4 linked regions of the Canis lupus familiaris genome follow. The protein of the gene in region 2 interacts with the protein of the main gene of each other region in a pairwise test. Links are inferred from orthologs where the notes say so. Each region holds a gene or a part of one and is shown on either strand. Other genes may lie near its edges.

What was found. The genes of interacting proteins can lie anywhere in the genome.
Region 1: the proteins of LMO1 (region 2) and GABPB1 interact in binary tests that used the Homo sapiens proteins (3 or more experiments, as listed by UniProt). The two-hybrid records come from large-scale screens. The link is inferred for Canis lupus familiaris from reciprocal best matches to the Homo sapiens genes LMO1 and GABPB1.
Region 3: the proteins of LMO1 (region 2) and TFIP11 interact in binary tests that used the Homo sapiens proteins (3 or more experiments, as listed by UniProt). The two-hybrid records come from large-scale screens. The link is inferred for Canis lupus familiaris from reciprocal best matches to the Homo sapiens genes LMO1 and TFIP11.
Region 4: the proteins of LMO1 (region 2) and SOX5 interact in binary tests that used the Homo sapiens proteins (3 or more experiments, as listed by UniProt). The two-hybrid records come from large-scale screens. The link is inferred for Canis lupus familiaris from reciprocal best matches to the Homo sapiens genes LMO1 and SOX5.

The regions. Positions count from the first base shown.
Region 1 is NC_049251.1:16,590,541-16,596,414, forward strand, and holds the start of GABPB1 (GA-binding protein subunit beta-1), read right to left. Parts: upstream 3,776-5,874; 5' UTR 3,344-3,775; intron 3,305-3,343; exon of another isoform or gene 3,283-3,304; intron 2,699-3,282; exon of another isoform or gene 2,205-2,698; intron 1-2,204.
Region 2 is NC_049242.1:32,367,641-32,373,672, forward strand, and holds the start of LMO1 (rhombotin-1), read right to left. Parts: upstream 3,504-6,032; 5' UTR 3,419-3,503; coding exon of another isoform or gene 3,397-3,418; intron 2,928-3,396; exon of another isoform or gene 2,310-2,927; intron 1-2,309. UniProt on the Homo sapiens protein: May be involved in gene regulation within neural lineage cells potentially by direct DNA binding or by binding to other transcription factors.
Region 3 is NC_049247.1:20,594,502-20,600,298, reverse strand, and holds the start of TFIP11 (tuftelin-interacting protein 11), read left to right. Parts: upstream 1-2,022; 5' UTR 2,023-2,075; intron 2,076-3,759; 5' UTR 3,760-3,768; coding exon 3,769-3,977; intron 3,978-5,742; coding exon 5,743-5,797. UniProt on the Homo sapiens protein: Involved in pre-mRNA splicing, specifically in spliceosome disassembly during late-stage splicing events. Intron turnover seems to proceed through reactions in two lariat-intron associated complexes termed Intron Large (IL) and Intron Small (IS).
Region 4 is NC_049248.1:23,355,357-23,361,278, reverse strand, and holds the start of SOX5 (transcription factor SOX-5), read left to right. Parts: upstream 1-2,147; 5' UTR 2,148-2,293; coding exon 2,294-2,372; intron 2,373-5,922.

The DNA.
Region 1 (5,874 bases), on a different chromosome or scaffold from region 2:
CAAAGGCAAACTATGAGGAAAGTTATAGACATAGGGGCAAGAGTAAAAGAGGGACAAGCTATGAGGTGAAGGGACTCTAAATTTTTGCAGAAGCGTAGTAGCCGATTCAGAAACATAGGGAGATCCCTGGGTGGCGCAGCAGTCTGGCGCCTGCCTTTGGCCCAGGGCACGATCCTGGAGACCCGGGATAGAATCCCACGTCGGGCTCCCTGTGCATGGAGCCTGCTTCTCCCTCTGCCTATGTCTCTGCCTCTCTCTCTCTCTCTCTGTGTGACTATCATAAATTTAAAAAAAAAAAAAACACCTCCTTAACCTTAGGGAGATGCCACCTTCTGAACAGACTAAGAAAGGGAAAAGCAACATGATGACTGGATTGAAAAACTATGAAGTTGAAAAGAAAACAGAACAGATTGTAGAAATTCTTAAAGAGCACTTATTTCATGAGAAAAGTAGTAGAAACAAGAAAGTCAAGTTAGGTCAGGACACAGAAAGAAAAGGAAAGGACGCCTGGGTGGCTCTGCGGTTGAGCTTCTGCCTTCAGCTCAGGGTGTGATTCGGGGTGTGGGGATTAAGTCCTGCATCCAGCTCCCTGCAAGGAGACTGCTTCTCCCTCTGCCTACGTCTCTGCCTCTGTGTCTCTCATGAATAAATAAAATCTTAAAAAAAAAAAAAAATACACACTCAAAACAAATTCATGATTCAAAACTTCATGTAATGACTTCTGAATTCCTGACTTGTTTGCTTTACCTGTTACTATTCTTAACTTATGAGGTATTCAAGAGGGGGGGGAAAATGGCCATTCTACAGATGAGTTCCACCATAAATACAACTTAGAGATGCTGGATGAAAGGGAGACAAGTAAAATTAACCAAGATCCAATGTGATATTTATTTTCATTTGCATGGCAAACATCAAAAATATACCTGGCATTTTCAAACAATTATGTCAAGAATGACCAGATGCTTCCTGTTGATGGAACAGTAGAGAACTAGTCTGACAGAATCAAAATAGAGTTCACAGAAACAACTGGAAATGAATTTAGCTTCATTTCAAAACCATTAAACCAAAGTATGTCCTTACATTTTCACACATTTAGTGTAACTGGCCCCCAACCTAAAATATAAAATACCCAGATGGACAGAAAGAGAGAACTCAAACTCTAAGTTAGGAGACTTAACTCTAAAGTTAAGTATATGCATTACAAAAGTATTGTTTGACCAAATGTTTCACTGCAGGATTCCTTTTAAATCTGAAACTCCTGCAGGGCTTTTGACAGTGTCCTATCTTCAAATATTACTTTTACACACTAGTTTTTACAAGCGTATCTAACATGGAATTCACATTTTGTGTACATAATTAAAAATAAATTGTGGAATTAAAAATAAAGTTTAGTCACTTAAAAATATTTTCAAGTGTTCCTGAGTCTCCAGGATCATATGCAGATTACACAATCTGTATACTGTTTATGCATCTAAATCCCAAATTGAAAAAAAGAGCCCAAGAAACAAGTATAGAAATCAACTCTCCTATCCATATTTTTTTAAATGTGTCTTGTATAATATGCTGATTCGACTTGTATGGTGAAAGGATAGAAATGACAAATCTCTCAGTTTAAAAAAAAAAAAATTACACAACAACAAGCATGAGCATACAATGGAGTTTTGGGAGTTTTCCAGAGGTTACACGGTGTGATACCACAGACTGAATGCAGTAGAGATTTAAGAATCTAGATGTCTTTTAAACCAGACATTCAAAAGACCTGCAGAAATGCAAAACAATGTCACTCTTACCGCTTGTATTAACTTGTATTAATGTCACCTGTATTAACTTGTAATGAATTTTTGTTGTAGCTATTATGGGGAGGGGGGGGATATGTAAAGAGTAAAATTAAGAGAAAAAAATTAATAAAAGCGTAAGGCCATCTTTAATTTCCTTAAAATCAGAGAGCCTGAGCCTGAAAGTGGCAGTGCCAAGGCCGAATGGTTATAGGTCAGCGCGAAGCAACTTACACCAAGCTGGGTAGGTCTATACGTGAAATAACGAACTGCAAAAAGAATTTTTCAACACTACCATCTGCGTAATAAATTATAGTGCCCCTCTAATTCTGGAATGGGAAATTATTTTTCAAGGACCATTTATTGACTACATCAAAAACATTTTCCAGGTTAAAAAAAAAAAAAATGATACTTCAGAAAGTAACTTGCCTGAACCGAGACAGCAAACCAGTGTTCGCAGAGAGCACCTACAATATTTCCACGTTACCAAGCCCCCCTCCGAGAGTACTGCCGTGGTCGCCACCCCTCCTTTGAACAGATGTCTGCTCGCCACAGTCCAATCAGGTTTAAAGCAAGCGTCTGTGTACTGAAAACAAGCTGAAAGTGGGAAAACACACACGAGGCAGGCCTCTATTATCCCGTTGGTTTCAGTTTTCGCGATGCACCCCTGAGGCGATGCTCGCTGACTGAACGCGGCACGACGGCTTCCACCGAGCTCTCTGCACACACACGGATTAACTGTGTCCAGGCAGAAATGACCTGGCAAAATTCTCAACTTTCTTCCGAAGCCGTGCACCCGCAGATCCCGGCGGCCAGGTCCCAAGAGCAGAATCCGAGCATCCGGAGCGGCGGGCCTTTGTCCCCTCAGGGGCCCGAGAGCCCGCGGTCGTGGCAGCAGGCGCGATCGGCGGCGCGCGGGCCGGGCCGGGGCCTCCGCTCAGCCGCGTCAGGGCTGCCGCTCCCGCCGCGGCCCGAGCGCGTCCCGGCCGCGCAGGCCCCACAGCGCTGCGCCCGCGAGGACGCCCGCCCCCGCCGCCCCTGCCGCCCCTGCCCCGCTCCGGAGAAGCCGCCAGGGCGCCCAGACAAAGAGGCCGGCAGCTCCCGGGGCGGCGGGCGGCGGCGGGCGCCGAGGCCCGGCCGGGCCGCGCCGCGCCAACCTGCCTCCCTCCGGCTCCCGCCCGCCGCCCGCAGAGCCCCCGCCGCCGGGGCTCGACCCCCTCCCCGCCCCGGGGCCGCCGCTCGGGCCCGGGCCGGCTGGGAGGCCGCGGCGCGCCGGGGCCGAGGAGGGGGCGGCGGCCGCCACCATGTCTGCCCGCCCCTCCCAGAAGCGGGGTGCCCGGCGGACAAAGCGCGGCGGCGGCGCGGGCGGAGCGGGCGCCCAGGCCGACCCCGCCGACCCCCGCGGAATAAGCGGGGCCAGGAGCCCCGGAAACCCGGCGCCTTAATGCAATAAACAGGAAATCGCGGGGATGATCTGGGTTCCGGGGGAAGTGGAATTATTTTTTACCAGCGAAGAGATCAACTTCCACATCCGGTGGTAACAGGGCCCTACACAGACCCGCACTGACCTGGAAAAGCTTCGGGAGCGGCGACGGGGGAGCAGCAGGAGGTGGTGCGGGGACCCGAGGCGCCTCGTACCCGGCCGGGCTGACGCGGCCCCGCTACACACAAAGCGCTTCAGCTGCACAGGGCGCTATTTTCCGAAAATGCCGCGTCTGGTCGGCGCCCAAAATCCCCACCGAAAAGTCCCCCGTGCTGCGCGCGGAGGGACACATGGTGTGCGAGTGAGTCAAAGCTCCCAGCATCCCTCCCGGACCCGGCCCCTGTCAAGCCCGCGCCTCAGCCTTTCCGCCCCTGCCTTCGGCCGCAGAGCGCTCTCCCACCCACTCCGCGACCCCATTCCGGCGGGAGGAAGGGGGCGACGGGGTCTGCGCTTTGTTTTTAATGGAGGGAAGGGAAATAGGCCATTTGCAGAGCTCGAGCCACACAAAGAAAGCGGCGGAATGATCCGCTCTCGGCGACCGCAAGTCCCGGCTCGCCCGGCGCCTGCGCGGCACGGGGGTGGGAGCCGCGGCGGGCCATGTGCGCGGCGGAGCCTCCCGGCTGCCGGCGCGGCCTTCCCGCCTCTTTTTGCGGGGGCTGGCGGTTGGGGACCCAGAGGACGTGTGCCTCCCTGGGTGTCTCTGCGACGTGACCGCTGAGAGACGGGGAACCCGAACTCGGGGGGGGGGTTAAGCCGAGCCGCCCCGCAGAGCCCCGGGACACGGAAGGGCAGCCGGGAAGCTAGGATTTAACTGAAAGTGGCCCTAGAGTCAACTAGGCCGCCTGGGACGGGAGTGGCGGGTGAGGTACCGGGGCGGGAACGAAGGCTGTTCCTCCACGTCGCTCGAACTGAGCAGCCAGGTTCCTCACAGAGATGCACTTATTCCTGTAGACTTTTTTTTTTAATTATTTTTTTTAATTTTAACATGCCCATGGCGTCGCAGGTGTCTCGTACTTCATAGACGCTAATTGCTCGCTCTGTTGCCTTGGATTTCTGTCACCTCAGAGGTGAAGGTCTTTTTTTTTTTTTTTTTTTTTTTTTTTTTACCGTGGCTACCATGCCTAGATGATTGTTGTGCCGTATTTTATGAAGAAGGCTGCGAACGTTTATTTGGAGATAGTGGTTTACAGAGTGAAAGCCTTTGCAAGTTAATGCACTTCTGATGAGTTGCTAAGTAAACCCCAACCCACTGGTATTGTGTTTAACAGGTGAGCCCCCGGGGATGACTTCCCCAAGCTGCTGACCTGCAGCTTCTGTCTTCCCATATTTAGGAATTGGGAGTATCTGAGACAGCGCCAAGAGTTTCATCCAGGAGAGTTTACGAGTTTAAGTGAAATCCGTATGACCCATTGATTTCTGTGTGGCCTGAGATAAGTCCTTTTTTTCTACCTCCAGTTACCCTTTTGGGATATTGACGCGGTAAGGATTTGTAAAGTCTTTGTGTAACTTATTAAGTCATTTTGCCTAAAATAGAAGCGAAGTAAATGTCACAGTAGCCATATTGTTTTCTTTTGATGTAATATTTTCAATGCTTCAGTTGATAAAAATTTGCCAAGTTTTTGATACCATGTTTTCCTCTAACCTTTGAGTTTGAGTAAGCATTGAGTTAACGATTGCTATGGAATCCTTGCCCTCATTGATCTTCTTTCTACTGTAGACTGAGAGGGGTAAATAGTAAGTATACCAGTAAGTATAAGGAGGGTAAACTGCTCAATACTGCGAAATCTCATACAGGAGAAATCTCTTGCCCACCTGGGTTGGAGGAATGAAATGGGACTGAGAAGCAATTAGCTTTAATAAAGGAAGTGGGAGGAGCCTTCCAGACAGAAGCAGCAATACACGGAAAGGTTAGGAGGCAAACTTTGGAGAGATTGTTTAGTAAAGAAGATAATGGGGGATCCCTGGGTGGCGCAGCGGTTTAGCGCCTGCCTTTGGCCCAGGGCGTGATCATGGAGACCCAGGATCGAGTCCCACGTCGGGCTCCCGGTGCATAGAGCCTGCTTCTCCCTTGCCTGTGTCTCTACCTCTGTGTGTGTGTGTGTGTGTCATGAATAAATAAATAAAATCTTTAAAAAAAAAAAAAAAAAGGAAGAAGAAGAAGAAGATAATGCTGTTTCAGGACTGCCTAGAGAGGTTCCTGAAGAGATTCAATCATGAAGACTTTGAATGCCATGTGCAGAAATTAGCTTTTTGAGAAGAACTGAGAGGAAACTGTTGAAGGGTGTTAAGTAGAAGTGTTACAGGATTGGATTTGCATTTTAGACAGATTAGACTGTTATGCAAAACTCAGGCATGGAAAACAGTTTGGGGAAAAAAATAGTAATTTGTGAGAGAATAATGCTTTGGACTGAGATAGTGGCAAATAGTGTGAAGAATATGACCAAGGTAGTTATTGAGAGTTTGGTGATTTGGTTGAGCCGGTAAGGGAATGACTGAGAGGAAGTCATCCTTGACATCTTTGACCTTGTTGAATTTGTAAGTCCTTGTGAGCCAACCAAGCACATATGTCTGGCAGGCAATTAGATATTAATTCATTTAAGTTGTTTCATGAGCACT
Region 2 (6,032 bases):
GGAAATTCTTGCCCTGTAACTCAGGAGTTAAGGGGAGACAGCGTCCATCTCCCCTCCTCTGGAACCCCAATTCTCCCCAAGAGCCTTGGGGCTAATGCTCAGGCTGCGTACTCTAGGAAGGCCACTCTAAAATACCAAGAGTTTGTTTTTTTCTCTCTTGACAGTCACAAGTTCCAAGAGGGGATGGAAATATTAACGGATTTTCTATAGGCCAAGGAAGGCTTCAAATAGATGTGTCAGAGGTTCATCCCTGGCAGACACTTCTGAGGACTAGACCCAAGCAAGGATAAGGCAATGACCAGCAAGTTGGGATTTCATCCCATCTCTGCCTATGACTAATGGTGGACCTTAGCAAATCACTTTGGCTGGGCCTCAGTTCCCTGTTTGTGAAGTGGGGCACCGGCTGTCCAAGGTTCCTGCAGGGATCAGATGAGCTAGTGTACGTGAATGTGCCTTGTAAACCATGGCATCCAACGATGGGGGGAACTTACTGAGTATAAATGAGACCTGGAGGCCAGGCTGTGCCCGGTAAGCCCCGGGAGGCCCCAATGCAGGGTGCCTGACAGGAGTAGGAATGGGGGAGTGGGGCTGCAGCCCATCTTCCTCTAGCCTAAGCGGGGAAGTCAGGCTTTAAGAAAACAGAAGAGAGGCTGCTTCTAATGAGATGCCTCATCCGCAGCTCAGAGGGTTTCGCTTTCCCCTTCATCTTGAATACTTAATCCTAATAGTCCTTGAGTATATTTGATGTTAAATATATCATTTTGCTCAGCCTCACTGTCCCTCAGGACTGCGAGCTTGATCTCTCCCCTGCCACTGCAGCCAGACTATACCCCGAGGGTCTGAGGGAGGCTTTGACACTGTTGCCATTGGCACGTTTGGTACCAACCCCTCACCCCAGCCTGAGCTGGGGGGCCAGACAATGTCACAGGCAATCGGCTGACAGGCTGGCAAGGGGTAGCTTCTTGCTGTAGATGCCTCTGTGCTCCCGGAAGGCATTCGCTCAACAAGGCCTGTGGCTTTACTCTCCAGTTCCAGGGCGGCTTCTCCTCTCTTTCAAGGCTCTGGCCCTGACCCACAAACTGGGACTTGACTAGCTGAAGGCACTTGTCCACTCTCTTCTTCATGTGTCGGGCTTGGGGCTCTGTCCCTACAGCAGCTCCCCCCAGTCTCCAAGATACCAATTAGCAGCCACCCAACTGGCATCCCTCTAGGGAGTCAGGGACCCTGTGCCCCACTTCAGGGACTGGAGTAGGCCTGGGGTGCTGAGCCGTGGGCTAAAGAACCAGGTAGTGTATGTCAGCAGATCACAGCTGTGTGTGAAGGGCTGCTTGTGTTCATAGGCAGCTCTCTGTACCCCCAGTTGTGAGCACTGAGCTCCCACAGTGATCTGGAAAAAGGCCTCCACAGAGGCCTTCCACTTGACAGAGCTACACAGCAAGCCTTGAAACGTTTAAGTGACTTGAGCTCTTAGCTTGGAAGGGGCCTGCCAGGTGGACAGAGCTAGACACAAGCATTCAGCATCCCATCCAGCATCCACCCTCTCAGCTCATGGGGAATTGCTGGGCAGGCAGGTAAGTCCTGTGCCTGGGGCCCCCACCCAAGCTGCCTCCAGGTCCAGGATCCCCTGGGGCTAGGAGAGGTAGTTTGCACCCAACACAGTTCATGGGCAATGAGCATGCACGTACCCTCAAGTCAACATTGCCAAGAGTGCCCCAGAATGTCCTTGAAATGCCTCTGGGGACAGCAGAGGGAGACCAGCTGATCAGCCCCCAGGTCATGGTGAGGAGAAAGGAGGTGCTACCAGCTGCCTTTCAAAGTTCTGGGCAGGTCCTAGCAGTTTGTCGCTGCACCTGGCAGGAAAGTCCTGATGAAGGGTTCTTGCACTGGGTTTGGGAGGTGTGTGTAGGGGAAGGAGACTCTCTGCCCCAGGGCCCAGGCAGACCAGATATTCCAGAACAGTGGTGGCTGTCAGATGTGCCTCAGCCTGAGGGCCCTGCTTCCAACACAGTACAGCTGTCTCCAAGATGGGGTTACAAGCTGGCTTCACAGGTGACACTCAAGAGGTATTTGGACTGACAAGGGCCCCTTCCCTGTGGCAGCCACAGCTGAAAGGACAGAGTGACCCTACAGATTTTGCAGTGCAATCCGGATGTCTGCTGGCCAAGTTCAGATGTCCTGCCCTGCCCCCTACTAACAACACAAAGGCAGCCTAAACACAGGAATTGGCAATCAGCTAGAGTGGAGAAGTACACAGTTGACAAACTTTCCTCCTTTGGTTTCTGGAAGCCCTTCTAGGAAGCTGCACTGTTAGACCTGGTGGAGGCCAAGGCCAAATCTGCACCCCAGAAAGCAAGTCTCTCCCACCCTCCTGATGAAGGCCAATCCACCCCCTGCACAACAGCTCTGAGAAGGTTGTGGATGTAGGCTGACCAACTGTCTTGGTTTGTCCCAGCACTCAGGGGTTTCCCAGGAGGCAGGGCTTTCTGTGCTAAAACGGGATGGTTCTGGGCAAACCAGGACAGCTGATGACCACAGTGGGAGATGGTAGGCTGGGACAAGGGACCAGCGGGGCCAGAGAGAAAGGTCAGGCAGCCGGGCCCTTCCCTGTACACCAGCAGCTGCCTCCCAGCCTCAAATTCTCCCAGCCTCCAGCACCAGGGCTTCATCCCCCAGGCGCTAAGGAACTGCCGTCCCCTGGGGATGGTCCCATGGGGCAGCCTGGCTGTATGTTCTCCAAGCCTTGGTAGTTACATGGGAAAGCTGTGAGTTGGACTCAGGGGTGGATTCAGATTTTTTGGGGGAGTCAAGCTTACTCATGCAATATAGGGGCTGGGGGGGGGGTGCTCTTCTTGAGAAAAGGAATACACGGCTGCTAACACAAAGTGACCACGGAAGGACTATGAAGCTTAAACTTCATCAGCTTCAAGGTAAACCCGCCCCTGGTATCCTGAGCGCCGCCCGACCCTAGCCCGCAGGGCACCTCCCGACGCGCTCGGCTGGGGGAACCTTCCAGGGGTGAAGCAATGTCACCCACCCCGCAGCTACGAAGTTCCCGATCCGAGGGCCCCCGGGGCCGGGCCGGTTTGCCTGCAGGTGCCCTGGGGACCCCCCTGGGGGAGCCGGTCCGCAGCGGGGGCGGCGGGGGCCGGGAAGCCGGGGGCTGCGGGCACTGCGGGAAGCCGCGGCGCGGGTCGCAGACGGGCCCGGGGGTCTGCGGGACGGCGGGACCGGAGAGAAAGTTCCCGGCCGGGGCGTGCGGGGCCGGCGGGCTCGCGGCCGCCCGGGGACTTCCCGCGCCGCCGACCGGCCCTGCGGCGCAGCCTGGCTCCCCCCCCCCCCCCCCAGGCGCCGCGCTTCCGGGGAACGGCCGCGGCCCGCCCGCGCCGCTGCACCTACCGTCCTCCTGCTCCAGCACCATGGCTCCCCGGAGGCGCCAGCCCCGCACCGGCCGAGGACGCGGAGGGGCGCGCGGCTCGGACTCCGCCGCCGCCCGCCGGCCTGCGCCGCTCCCGCCGGCCCCGCGCGGGCTCCGGGCTCCGGGCTCCGCGCTCCGGCCGGGGCCGGGGCCGGGGCCGGGGGCGGGGGCGGGAGCGGGCGGAGCGGCGCGGGCAGCTGAGCCCCGCGGGCAGGGAGCGCTGGGGGGGGGGGGGGCGGGGGCGCGTCCGTCCGCCGCGGGGTCGCGGGAGCCGGAGCCGGAGCCGCGGGAGCCGCCGGAGCCGCCGGAGCCGCCGCGCGCGGTTCTCCGTCCGCGCGGGCCGCGCTGGCCTCTGCCGAGTGCAGCCTGCGTTTCCCAGGGCCCCTCAGTTCCCCTGTTAATTAAATCAATTCATTATGCTCAGATCTGATTAGCGGCCCTTCCCCCCTTTGAATCAATTATTCAATACACAAACATAATTGCCTGGGCCAGAGGTGCCCGCCATTAGCTTATTTAACTCCAAGGACACTAATTACCCGCAGGGCACGGGAACTTTTCTCATTAATTCTGACAAAACACAAAAGCACAGCCAGAGTGCGTGTGAGCAGTGCGGGCGTGTGTGCGTGCGCGCGTGACCGCATGCGGGGGGCGGGGACGGGGTGCTGCGGGCCGGGGTTTGACACCCAGCGCGGGGACCGTGGGGTCCTGAGTGCTGCTGCGCGTGACTTCGTGAACGTGGCCCCGTGGCTGCTGCGGCGGGCGCCCCTGCCCTTCCTGTTTGCGTAACTGCCCCAGCATTGTCCGCTGCACAGTCAAGACACGGGGGCACGCGCAGAACACAGAAACGTGCGATCAGGAAGTGGTGGGTGGTGTTTCTGCAGTTCGGGCTGTCCTTCCCCCCCACCCCGCCCCTCCGGCCACCACCGCGCCCCCCCAGCCCACCCCCTCTTTAAAACCTCAGGTTGCCATGGTCCCCTTCCTTGACGCATCTCGGTTCAGCCTCCCACCCCAACTCACTCCACCCCTGCTTTTATCCCACAGCCCTCCCCACCCCTACCTCTATCCCTATTTCCACAGGTGCCTGCCACCCAGGCACGCCCCCACCCAACTCCACCCGCCCTTTGCCTAGTTCTCCCCTCCCGTCTGCGAGGCTGAGCCGAGGGTGTGTCTGTGGTTGACCAACTTCACGTTTTACCTCCCAGGAAATCTCTATTGAGAGCGAGCGAGTATGAGAGCCCACAGAGGCAGGGACACAGAGGGTAATTGATTCCCCCAAATTAGGTTTCTGCTTTCTAAAGACCAGTATTGTTCCTGTTCTCAATGTGCACAGAGGTATTGAAGATTTCCTTTTTGTTTCCTCAGGCAATGAATGAGCTTAATCCATTTGGCTTTATAAATCAGGAAACTAATATTCGCTCCTTCCATAGCAGCTTTTTAAAAAATTTAATTGGTGGGGGGGGCTCAGTTTGTCACCCTTATGCTGTCCCCAAGCCACCACTTATCAAAACACATTCTGACTGAGGGGTGGAGAGAAGGCTGGGAGGGGAGGTCGTGGGAAGGGGAGGCTCATCCTGATTCTCCCTACCCTCCTCCTCAGTGCTTGCACTCAGACCCACACAGTATCTGGAAAAGTTTGTGAAATGACTGAATCATACTCAATTTGGTGAAGAAAAGGAGAGTGTAGAGGTGCTCTTCAGAATGATCGTCTAAATCCGTTACTCGCAATCTCCCACTAGCATTGAATGTAACCGTGTCACACCCAGGGATGGCAAATCCTCATTCTCACCAACATGCACAAGCCGCTGGACACATCTTCCTGTTGTCAGGATCTGACCCTGCCACTCCCATTCTCAAAAATCTTCCATGGCTCTCCATTGTCCTTGCGACAAAACTCTAACTACTTATCCTATCATTTCAGGTCCTTCACACAATCTGAAGAAACCTTTGTGACACCACCACTACCCCTTGTTTCAACTGATCTTTATTGATCTCCAGCAACTACCTTTACCCTCCTGCCCCTTCCTCTGGATTGCTTTACTGTCACTAAACATACCCTGCAGGCAGGTTCCTGCAGGACTCCTCTCATGGCATCCCTCTGCTTAGGAAGTCCTTGCCCACTTCTCAAAATCCTCTAAGGAAACAACTTTTCTGTGTTCTTCTAAATGGGTGTCTCTGTGTGAAGCCTGGGTTCCTGAGGGTGTGTGTGGATTATTTAGTTGAGGCCTGGGGGACACGAGTGTTTAAACTCTCCCCTGGAGTGGAAGGAGAAATATGGTGTCAAGAGTCTACTCTGGCTCACTGGAGAAGATGGGAGCTGCAGAGGCGGGCCAGGAACTCTGCCTTCCAGAACTTCAGATACAAGAATGGTGCCTCAGAAGGAGAGACACTTGGGCATCTTCCCTTCCCACTCCCCCCACCCCACCCCGCTTGCCCTTCAGGATCTCAGGATCAGAACCCAGGAACATGCTTCCTCTGTCGGCCCAATATTTGGATCTGTTTAGTTCTCTGTGTAGCTAGGCCACTGCCCATGTTAGTGCCAGCTTTCCCTATACTAAGGCATCTAGCCAAGGGGGCAGGAGAGGGCTGCAATACTGCCCTCTCTCTGCTTTCTAAGCCA
Region 3 (5,797 bases), on a different chromosome or scaffold from region 2:
TGAGCCATGTGTCAGGCTTTATGCTCGGGGGAGAGTCTGCTTCTTCTCCCTTTGCCCTCTCCCCTTCCCCCTGCATTCATGCTCACTCATTCAAATAAATAAATAAATCTTAAAACAAAAATATCTAGGTACAAAGAGAACCTTTTTTCCCCCCTTAATAACTTGAGACTAAGTTGCCTACTTGATGCCCTATCACTCCCCTAAATACTTTAATATTTCCAGCAAAGACATTTTCCAGCGTAACCACAGGACGGCCATCAGAATCAGAAAATGAACACGGACACATCACTACCATGGAACTTCAGACCGCATTTAAATTTTGCCAGTTATCCCCATAACTTCGTTTACAGCAAAAAGGTCCAATTCAGAATCAGGTGTTGCGTTTACCGGTCATGTCTCCTTCGCCTTCTTCAGTCTGGAGCACTTCCAGGGTCTGTCTTTGACTTACATGCCTTGGGCACTCTTGAAGATCACAGGCCAGCTGTTTGGCAGAACATGTCTTTATTTGGGCTTGTCTCCAGTATCCTAGTGATTCTGTCCCAGGTATGCATCTTTGACAGGAATATCACGGGGGTGGTGCTACGACCTTCTCAGGACATCCTATCGCACAGTACATGAGGTCCACTTGCCCCGTTGTTGGGGATGCACAGCCTGATCCTGCGCTCAGAGCCTGTACTCCTAGTGACCCCTAGTGACCCCACCGTCCCCAGAGGCCCCTTCTCCAGAAGCCACGTGGAGGGTCCATCTGGTGAAGCAGATCCACTAGCATCAGCCCCTCGTGATCTGAGTAACTGCTGCTCCATGAAGTCAGCTGTAGAGCTGGAGAGAGAGCTACAGAGAAGCCAAGCGAGCTTCTATCTTTGGCTCTGGCCTATCACCAGATGCCTATACATTTCCAGGCCCAGACTCAACACGGTCTATCTGGTCTCCTTGTTTTTCCTCCCTCTGCTCCCTGGTGGAGCTTCTCCTCTGTTAGACTCTCTTCCCCTCCTGCCCTCTCTTCTATGAAACCTCACTTTCTAACATCTTTCCTGACTACACACTGTGTGTCGGCCTCGGTGACACACGTCAGTGGGGACGCAGAGACCACGGGAGTCACAGCGCGTGTTTCGAGAAGCTGGCAGTCGCTTGCCTTCCTGTGGGTTCTGGTTTCATTCACAACGGCGGGAAGTTGGATCCAGATCTTTGACTAAGAGCCGGGTGCGCTCCGTGTATTCTTAACAACTGCCGCTTGCACCTTTTCATCATAGGAAGGAGAGAGAAAGAACGTGAGCGAAGACTAGGGGCTGACACGCCTAGGCAGCCCTGTGCTTGCACATTTCATCTCCCCGGATCCTCAACCATTTTGCAGAAGAGGAAAGCGAGGCTTCCAGAGGCGCAGGGACTAGGGGGGCCCCGGGCCCGGGTGCTTGCGGGGTGCAGAGGCAGCCGCCACTCCCCGGGCGGCCCGAAGCCCTTGAGCCTCGGCCCGCGGGGCTCCGCACGGTCCTATCAATCGGTGAAGGAATGAAGGTCTCGACCACGGGCTGGGGGGCGGTTCCCGGAGGGAGCGCGTGGGGCCCTGGTCCGCCCGTCCCTGCGCTCTCAAGCTCCGCGCCCACCGCGGTGCTCGGCCAGGGGCCCCGACGGCACCCGAGACCTTGCTCCCGCCGGCAGCCTGGCCCCGCGCCCCGCGCCCCCCGCCCCGCGCCCCGCGGCCGCCCGCTGGCCCTCACCGCTGCCCCGTGCGCCAGTCCTCTAGCCCCTTTTACGCAGTCGAGTCTCAGACTGGCGGCGGGGTCCCCGCGGGCCGGGCGCGGCACGGAGGTCGGGGAGGTCGGGGAGGAGGTCGGGGAGGTCGGGGAGGTCCGGCAGCGCGCCCGCCGCCATCCGAGGCCCTGGAAGCCCCGCCTCCTCCCTCGCACTCGGCCCCGCCCCGTTGGAGCCCGGGACGCGCTCGCCCGTCGCGGCCGTGACGAAGAGCGCCCCGCGCCCGCCCCCGCCCCCTTGTACGTCATTTCCGGCGCGCCGCCGCGGGCACATCCGGGCTCCTGGCCTCCGGCCGGTAGCTGCGCTTGGACCCGGGACCTGCGGAGGTGAGCGGGGCGGGGGTGCGGGCAGCGGTGGGGCGTCCCCGCCGGCGGGCGTGAGTGCGGGGGACGCAGCCCCTCCGCGCAGCCTGCTCCAAGCCTGCTTTCGAGCGCCGTCGGCGCGGAACCGAGGCCCGGTGCTGCCCCTGGCTCGTCCGCCCCGCGCGGGCTCTTCGGGGGCCCGGGGAGGCCGAGGCGCTGCGGAGCCCCGAGTGCTCGGGGGCGCTTCCCTTCTGTGCGCCCCGCCAGCGTGGCGGGGGTGCAGTGAGCCGGGGAGCCTGGGGACTAGCGCCCGGACGCGCCGGCCCCCGCGAAGGCTGCTTGCCGCCCGCGGCTGTGGTGACGCCGCGACGCCGCCGCCGACCCGCCGGAGCTGGGGTTTCAGCAGTCCTCCCCGAGGTCCCCTCCCCAACCTACTGATAGTGGCGGTGAGGAACCTGATCTGGGGCTACCGTAACAGCCCTTGCTCCCGGAGCGTTTTTACTCTGAGCTTAGTATTTTAAATTTTTTAAGAAATACTTATTTGAGAGAGAACGTGAAGCGGGGTGGGGAGGGGCCGAGCTGGAGCGGAAGAAGCAGAGTCCCCGCCGAGCAAGGACCCCGAGGTCTTGACCTGAGCTTAAGGCAGATGCTTATCCAGCTGGCCCACCCAAGCACCCCTGAGCTAAGCGTCTTTTAGGCACCACCTCGTTTAATCTGGCTCACAGGCATTCCCAGAGGGTGGGGGTAGAGTCAGCTGAATCTCATCACTCAGCTACCAGGAGCTGAAATCTCTGTTAAGGTAGGGTTTATGCCTTCAGAAGAAGTTCATGTTTTGGGAGGAAAACTTTTAAGTCTTAGGGTCTCACCAAGTAATATACTTCAGGAAGCGTGTTCTAAAAACCATCACTCCCGGTGGTGAACCGCCAAGGGTCCAGATATAGTAACTCTTTCCTCATATTTAGTTGTTGTTGATCCTTCGTTTTGACTCCAGAGTAACTACATTTTTTTGTGAGATTGTAAAAGTACCATTGAAGTTACAACTAATTTAAGAAGAATGGGAGAAGGCCAGTTAGAAGCCTCAAATCTTCCAGCAAACATCTGGCATTCTGAGGTGACAGTGTCCGTGACAGGCGAGCCACCCAGTGCTGTAGAAGAAGAAAAAGAAACAGCTGAAGAACCGGAAAAAGAAGTCCTCCCAGACATCGTAGAGCCACTCTCCATTCTAGATGTGCTGAGGATCTCTGCGGTTCTGGAAGATACTGCAGACCAGCTCTCTATTCTAAACTATATCATGCCAGTTCAGTATGAAAGAAAACAAAGTGTCATCATGGTATTAAAAAAAAAGGGGGGGGGGTTCCAGGAAGATGCCCACCCCGTTTCTGAGGCAGTAATAAGTAGAATAACATACCGAGTTATTTTTTTGTGGGTTATTTAGGTGTGAGTGTGTGTAAAGTTTTATGACCTTGACCAGGACAGGGAATCGCATATTGTTGGGACCAGTCTTTTGTCCCACCTGTTTAAATAGTGTTTGTTTTCTGAAATATGTTTTTAATGTCTGCCTTATTGAACTGTTAACAATGATTTTTAATCATTGGGACTTTGAGTGTGAGGAAGTTTGAAGGGAGTGAGGAGCAGGGACGGAAGCCTACTGCTGCTCTCCCCTCAGGACTTACCACAAACCACGTGCCTTTTTTATTCCTTTCTTTAGTGACCTGTCATGTCACTGTCCCACTTGTACCGGGATGGGGAAGGCCACATGGATGATGATGACGATGAGCGGGAGAACTTTGAGATCACCGACTGGGATCTCCAGAATGAATTTAACCCCAACCGGCAGCGCCACTGGCAGACCAAGGAAGAGGCCACCTATGGAGTGTGGGCAGAGAGAGATTCAGATGAAGAGAGGCCCAGCTTTGGAGGCAAACGGTACTGGCCAGCATGAGACTGCTTCCTCCTCGCTTTAGGGAAGATGGGGGGTGGTGGGAAGATAGCCCACTAAATATACCTTTCTCCTGGCCTTACCAAGTCCTGTAGCTACGATATAAGCTAGGGAGGCCCAGCTTCCTCTTTGGCCGGAGTGCTGCTCTTTTGCTGATTTAACCATCACTTCATGTTTAACGAGCAGTTATATGTACCATGTCGTATACTGCAGCCCCATTCCTTTCCTTCTGGGAGCCCAGACGCTAGAGCATGGAGACACATTAATTGACAGCTCATACGATGGAAGTTTATAACTGATTTAGGACCTGAGAGAGAGAGAGTTTGGCCTATTCTGGGAGGTGAGGGAAGATTTCTCTAGAGAAGTGACTTTTGAGTTTCTATTACAGCAGAAGGTAATGAGGGTGGTAGGAGAGGCACGGGTATGCAGAGGCTCCTGAGGGGAGGCGGTGGGTGTCCACAGGGGTACAGAAAGCTTTGCAGGCTGCGGTGAGGGAGGGAGAGGGGGCATAGTTTGAGAAGAGGTCTGTGGTAGAGCGGATGATGTGGGCTGCACTTACCTTTGGAGAAGACCTGTCAGTGTGCAGAGTTGACAGGGAGCTGCAGGGGAAGAGGAAACTCCATGAGGCAGGAGAGGAGGATTCAGGCCAGTAGTCGTCCTCCCCAGTGTGAGAGGTCATGTGTGCAGTGGCCACAGCTCACTTGACCAGAGCGTGTAGCGAGTTTGGCTTTGTCTCTGTGTTTCGTCTGTGGTTTGTAGGCTCTAGCCCATTGACACTGTGCGTTTTTCACAAAGGAGGCTGGGGAGAAAGTATGGAGGTCAGATCAAGTCCTCATCTGGCAAGGAAACCTAAAAGTGGGTGATAAATAGATCAGAGGTCAGGAATTAACATTCTCTATAACCATAAGATAGTACCTTGTTCTGCACTCTACGTGCTTGGTATCCTTCACCTTGTGAGAAAAGTAGCATCATTATCATTCCTTTTTTCAGATTAAAAAACTGAGGCCAAAAGCACATAACCAGGCTGTAAGAAACTGGGCCTGACTCCTGAGTCTGGGTCTCTACGGCCTAAGTTACATTGCATTGTTTAGGAAAAAATGCTACTGCCATGGGGATGGTTAGTGACAAGTTGGTCATTTTATAAAGGTAACCAGGAAATAGGACATTGTAAGGACTGTTCTTGTGACAGTTGTCAACATTGATACTCTCTATCTCAGAGTTAATTTCTTAGGTATTTTACTTTAGTTTTCATACGCAAATAAAGGTAATGAAGGTGAAACTTTTCTAAGAGTTTGACCAATAAAATTGTTAATATACTTTGCATTCATACAGTTTCTTTTATTGTGTTTGATGATGTTTATCTATCCGAAGTTCTTTCTTGCTTGATTTCTGTACTTGAAACACGGGGTCCAAAACAAATGATTTTAAAGTTAATTTTAAAACATGTAAAAGAGTTGCGTTATCACATCATAGTTTGCATGGTGTCCTTTCACTTTTGTTGAGACAAAATCAATACAGTGTGTAAGATCATATATTGCTGTTTTAATCAACCTTGCACTGACAGGTAACAATGTTACCGTGATCACAGGAAGTCAGATCTGAGGCGCTTTTGGTCTAAGTGAATAGGTTACTCTTGTAAAATGGATCCCTGGAGTTCCCCTCTCGGGGGATCTCAAGCCGGCAGAGTGTCCACAAGGGATCGCTGCAGAAGGCTTCCTTAAGGCCCCCTGGGGGCTGTGTGTTTGCCCACAGGGCCCGCGACTACTCTGCACCAGTCAACTTCATCAGCGCCGGTCTCAAGAAAGGG
Region 4 (5,922 bases), on a different chromosome or scaffold from region 2:
ATACAGGAGGGATAAGCCAGAATTAAAAAATAATTACATATAATGTGTGGATGGGAATGAATAGAAGGGGTAGGGATGGAAATCTCCTCAGAGTTACCTTTATATGTAATTTTGACTTTGGACCATGCAAAATTGACCATATATATTTGAGAAATAAAAATTAATCAACAAGGAGTGGGAAAATGTCTGTGATGTTTGATACTAACATTGATGGAAAGCTGAATGGTAATTGTTGGTGCTTTGGACTGATAGTCTACTAAAAAACAAAGAGGAAATGAAGGGGAGGCACTTAAGAGATTGATATCAACTGAATTGTGTCTATTAACTGGTATAACTGGTACTTTCCCATTAAATTTATTCCTTAATTATTATTTTTCTTTCATTTCTACAGCTAACAAGAACTGCTTCTTCCTCTCCCATGCTAGTAGTTCTTTTGACAAGAGAGAAAAATAAATGAAACTATTAATAGTTTTCTCTGTTTTGGCAATAATTTGAGCCAATGATGGGATTTTTATATCATGTATTTTCCGAAGAGGATGATACACAATCATTGTATACTCTTTGCCAGTTTCTGAGTCTTTATAATTATTAAAAACATACATTATAGGAAATATTACTTGCTTCCTGAGCCACATTGTTTTTTCTTTTTCTTTCTATTTACTAGAAAAACAATACCAATAATGTACCATTTTCTATTAATACATAATCCTCTCCTTGAAAGTGTAACATGCCTTTGGAGCTAACCTTTTTGGAATTAAGAAAATTGTTATTTTATTTAACTATGGGTTTTCCAGTGAGCCAAATGTTAAAATTTTAAACTTTTTGTTTTTTTTTTCTTTCTCTCTTAAGATTTTATTTACTTGACACACAGAGAGAGAGAGAGAGAACACAAGCGCGGGGGGGGGGGTGCAAGAGAGGGAGAAGCAGGCTCCCCACTGCAGGAAGCCCAATGTGGGGCCAAATCCCAGGACCCAGGACCCTGAGATCATGACCTGAGCCGAAGGCAGGTGCTTAACCAACTGAGCCACCCAGGAACCTCATGAGGTTTACTTTCTTTATCTGTGTAGAATTTGTGGTCAGTTCAGTAAAAATTTATTGGCACCTACTTTGTGTCTAGCACTTGATTAGTTCCTTTTACTCAATGACCTTCTACTCAAATAGGCAAAATTTCATAGAATTTCACAAAGTGCTAGCAGTCTGAGAATTACACACACTGCATAGATAGAAAGCCAGAAGATGTCTAGAGCCATGTATAAAGAACCCTGTGTGTTTCTAATGAGAATGAAAGGAATTTGCTAAGCCTAAATAGCCTCTGTTTAGTTCTAAGTCAGTGATCACGATATTAAAGAAAGTTGTACCATTACACATATGAGTGCTTTTCATCATTCAGTGACATAGTGAAAAAAAAAATAACTAAGTAGAAACGTCAGTTCCCCATATCAAAAGCTATGAAATATAAGTGCTCCCAGCCAAAGAAGGCAAGATCTGGAATTTTTTTTTAAATGTGGATATATAGAATAAATATGCAACCCTCCTGATAATGTTGGCTGATGAAATGAAATTCACCAACTGTAATTCTGGCACAGAGAGACACACATAGTGCCCGCATGCACACACACACACACACACACACGCACATACACACACACACCCTCGGCATATCCTTAATCATTTGCTATCTTATTTACATTTCATTTGCTAGAGTAAATTCTATCATTTGAACTTTAAAAAAATGTATTTCAATATTACTTAGGGAAAAATAGGAAATAATGTGATTGGCTTTCAAATAGCTTATTACCATTCAAATACTCTCAAGATAAATTATATTAAAGGGAAAAAAAAGAAAGAAACCCTGTTTCAGCTTCCGAAACATTCTAAATGGAGACTTAGCTCTAAGTAATCAAAATTGCTTTAGTTGTGCAGAGCGGCATTAAAAGCCTTGTCCACTAATTGAGTGAAGCAGTGCTACTGGAGCAGCCTTGTCCCCTCATTAGATGATCTTGCAGGCACTGTTTGTCATTCTGGGTTGCCGGGCTCAATCTAACAGTACTGCTGGCTCAAATTAGTGGTAATTCATTATGACACAGTATGTCCTTCTGTGAAACAACAATATGAAGCCCATGGGGCATCTGTCTGCCACTACTACTTCTTTATCACATTCCTCCCACTTCAGTTCAAGTAACCACCTTTGCATGAACCTTCTAACTTCTTTATCTAACTGGTGATTGGGGATACAATTTGACTGAAGCATTGCATCCCCTTCCCCTCCACCAATGTTACAGAGCGAAAAAGGATGGGTATCACACAACAGGCCAAGTCAGTCTGGAAAATGATGCCATGTTTTGAAGGAAGCAAAGTGTACTTGTGTATATGTGAGTGCAAGGACTTCTTTTTGAATACAAATATTTCCCTTGTATCAAATCATAGAGGCTATTAATAGAACATATTGTGATAGAATGTTCATAAATGCCGCATAAATCCAAAGAGAAGGAAATTTTTCTGACTATGTGAGTTTGGTTACTCAACACATTTGGAGGGAAACTTCATGTTTATATGATGAGCATTGCTGTTCAAAATGAGACTTTTCTACTCATGGGTAGGTGGAATCCTGTCTCTAGGGGAAAGTTCCATCAGTGATGCGATTGGACACTTCCTCTTACCAACTCTAAATTGTGTGTATCAGTTAGTTCATTGTGTCAATTCAGATCATTTGTTCCATCTCTGGAAGAATGACTAAATTCAACTGATAAAGAATGTCTAAACCATGTTTAGATAAAGCTTTTCCTCTGAAATCCTTAAATTGCCTATGGATGTGGAAAAGTTCGCACTTATTGACTGTTGACTCTACTGTGTTGGAAGCGATGGTGCTTAGTCAGTATGAGGTACAGGACAGTAGTGCACCCACTGTTTTCCCAAGGCTGAGCCTAATCTCACTGCAGGATATCTACTCCATGCAATATGGGCCTGGTGGGATTTTAACAGCATTAAAAGCCTACCTACTTCCACACCATTTATCGTTTGAAATTCCACAATTAGACTCATTCTTTTGGATTATAGTTTTATAAAGAAGGAAAAAAAACCCTTTTCTTGACATAATCTGATTGCTTAAACTGGTTAATATATTACTATTCATTATTAGTAATCATTTATTCATTTATCTAATATTTAACTCTTTACCTTCATAAAACACATCCTAGCAAAATCCTTCAGTTCAGCAGTAGTCCTCATTACCCCATTTTACAAAATTCTTCCATAAAATATAGATATATCTGTTTTTACATCGTAGTTCTTAATGTGTCTTGACTGAATTCCTGCTTTCTTCACAAATTGGCTTCATCCATATTCAGTTTCACAACTTCAGTGAATAGCAACTCCCTCCTGTTTGCCCATTCCAAATACCTGGGAGTCATCCTTTGACTTCTAGCTTTCACTCACATCCGTATCTATGTCACTGGTAAATCCTATCTGCCAAAATATATATTCTGAATTTATACCATTACCATTTGGCTCAAGATAATGCCAGCTGTTGCCTGGAATATCAAAATAGGCTCTTTACACCTACCTTCAGTCTATTTATAGCATAGCTCTGAAAATAAGTGGGAGCATTTTTAGTTCAGAAGGTCTGGGGATTTAGAGATGCTAAATGATCAACCATGGGCTTGATGGTCAGGGCAAAGAGAAATTGCCTACCCAAAATACCAATAGCAACCCCATTGAGAAGTGCTGAGCCCATTAAAAACCTAAGTCACAGAATGTTCCACTTTTGCTCAAACCCCTTCAATGGCTGCTATTTTTTTTTCTGAGAATAAAAGCCAGTATTATTACAATGGCCTACAAGGCCTTACACAACCCATCTTTGACTCTCCCTTATATCTGATCTAATTTCCTGTTCATTCTCATTCATTCCCTGCATTACAGCCACTCTGAAAATACAGTCATTCTGACATGCTATTCTCACTGCCTGAAAAATTCTTTCCTCACTATGCATGTCTTACTCCTTCACCTCCTAACTCAAATGTCTTCTTTCTTGGTTACCCAGTTGAAGAGACTCTGCTAATTATTATTTATTATAATATATATTATTATAGTATATAATATAGTAGTATAGTATAGTATATATATATAGTATATAGTATATAGTATAGTATATATAGTATAGTAGTATATATTATACTACTAATATTTGTAGTATAATAAAGATATATAGTAGGTGCTCAATAAGTAGTTTTTGAATGAATGGATTTTAGCTTATAAAAACCTTAGGCAGTTTTCCATTAAAGAAACGAGACTTTAAAAGCTAACAGGCTAGTAGATTTGTCAAGCCTGTCATACATAGCTTAGTAAAGAGACAAATTTTGACCTGTCCTTATGAATACATTTATTTATTCATTTGCTAAGTATTTAACTTTAATTAGGCACTGTTCTAGGTGCTAGAGGTAATGAAGAAAAGTAGGTAAAGTAATGAAGAAAATAGGTAAGGTCATAAAGCAAACTAATTTTAGAGATAGTAAGTGCTAGGAATGCCTGGGTGGCTCAGCAGTTTAGTGCCTACTTTTAGCCCAGGGCATGTTACTGGAGTCCCACATTGGGCTTCCTGCAGGGAACCTGCTTCTCCCTCTGCCTATGTCTCTACCTCTCTTTCTGTGTCTCTCATGAATAAATGTATAAAATCTTAAAAAAAGATAGTAAGTGCTATACAGAAATAAAAGGAAGAAGGGAGTAGTTATAGGTAGCGGGGGTGTGGCCTCCAATTCTTATGTTTTTCCCACTGTAAACTGATTTTAATAATTACTTTATTTGACACATTAGCAAATACTTAAAAATAAAATGAAGTGGGGAATTAATACAGAGACAGCTATATTTTGAAGAGGTATATGTTGTCTATTAGAAAGAAAATGGATTATGATGTCAGACAGTCTTAGGTTCAAGTCCCAGATCTGCCACATGCTTACCATGTAACCAACCATAGACAATTAAGTTCAACTCAGTGTTCTCATTGGTTAAGTATTAATAGTGCATACTTAGAGGTGTCTGTGAAGTAAGGAGACAATGTAGATAAGGTATCTAAGACATAGTAAAATAAGTCAATAAATGGTTCTTTAAAAGACTTTTGGCTACTACACAGAAAATGGACCTGGATAGGAAGCCTAAGAGGGCATCTGTGTGCTGAGGAGAAAGATTAGGTTATTATGAGATCAGATTATTATGAGGTGCCAACTCAGAACCTTCATAAAAATCCTTTCTTTCCACCACTTAAATAGCAATATACAATTCTACTATTCCTAGGAAAGTTTTGTTATTCTATTTGATAACCTTTTGGTTATTATGAAAGTTACATAATTTATTGATGAGATGTTTAGAAAATGTAGATGAGCAAAAGAAGAAAGTAAGAAGTCCCTGTAATTGTAAAATTAACATTGTAACATTTTGACATTATCCTTTGGGTCATTTTCTTTTTTTCTTTAAGGTCAATTTTATAGCGTGTGTGTGTGTGTGTGTGTGTGTGTGTGTGTGTGAGATTGGTTATATAACTACAGATCTTCTGCCTATTAAACCAAATTAATATTTTAAAGCATTAATATTTTGGAATAAGATTAGTGTTTTGGACTTTTGGATGCGGGAATCACAGGAATGTGTATATGGATCAGGACTCAGCTAATTACTAAGCCTCATTTTCTTGAGCTGATTAGTAGGGAAAGGATCCATGGTTTAGTTAAGCAGTGCCCTATTGTTAGCCATTTGGACTCATGCTTCATATATATATATATATATATATTGTTTTTAGAAGTATTTCCTCAGGGTATAATCTCAAATAAATTTACATATGAATATGTGTAAGATTGCTAGCATATAGGATCCAAATACTTTTTTACAATATATGAACCATTTTCAGCTTCACTAACCACATATGAAAACCTCTTT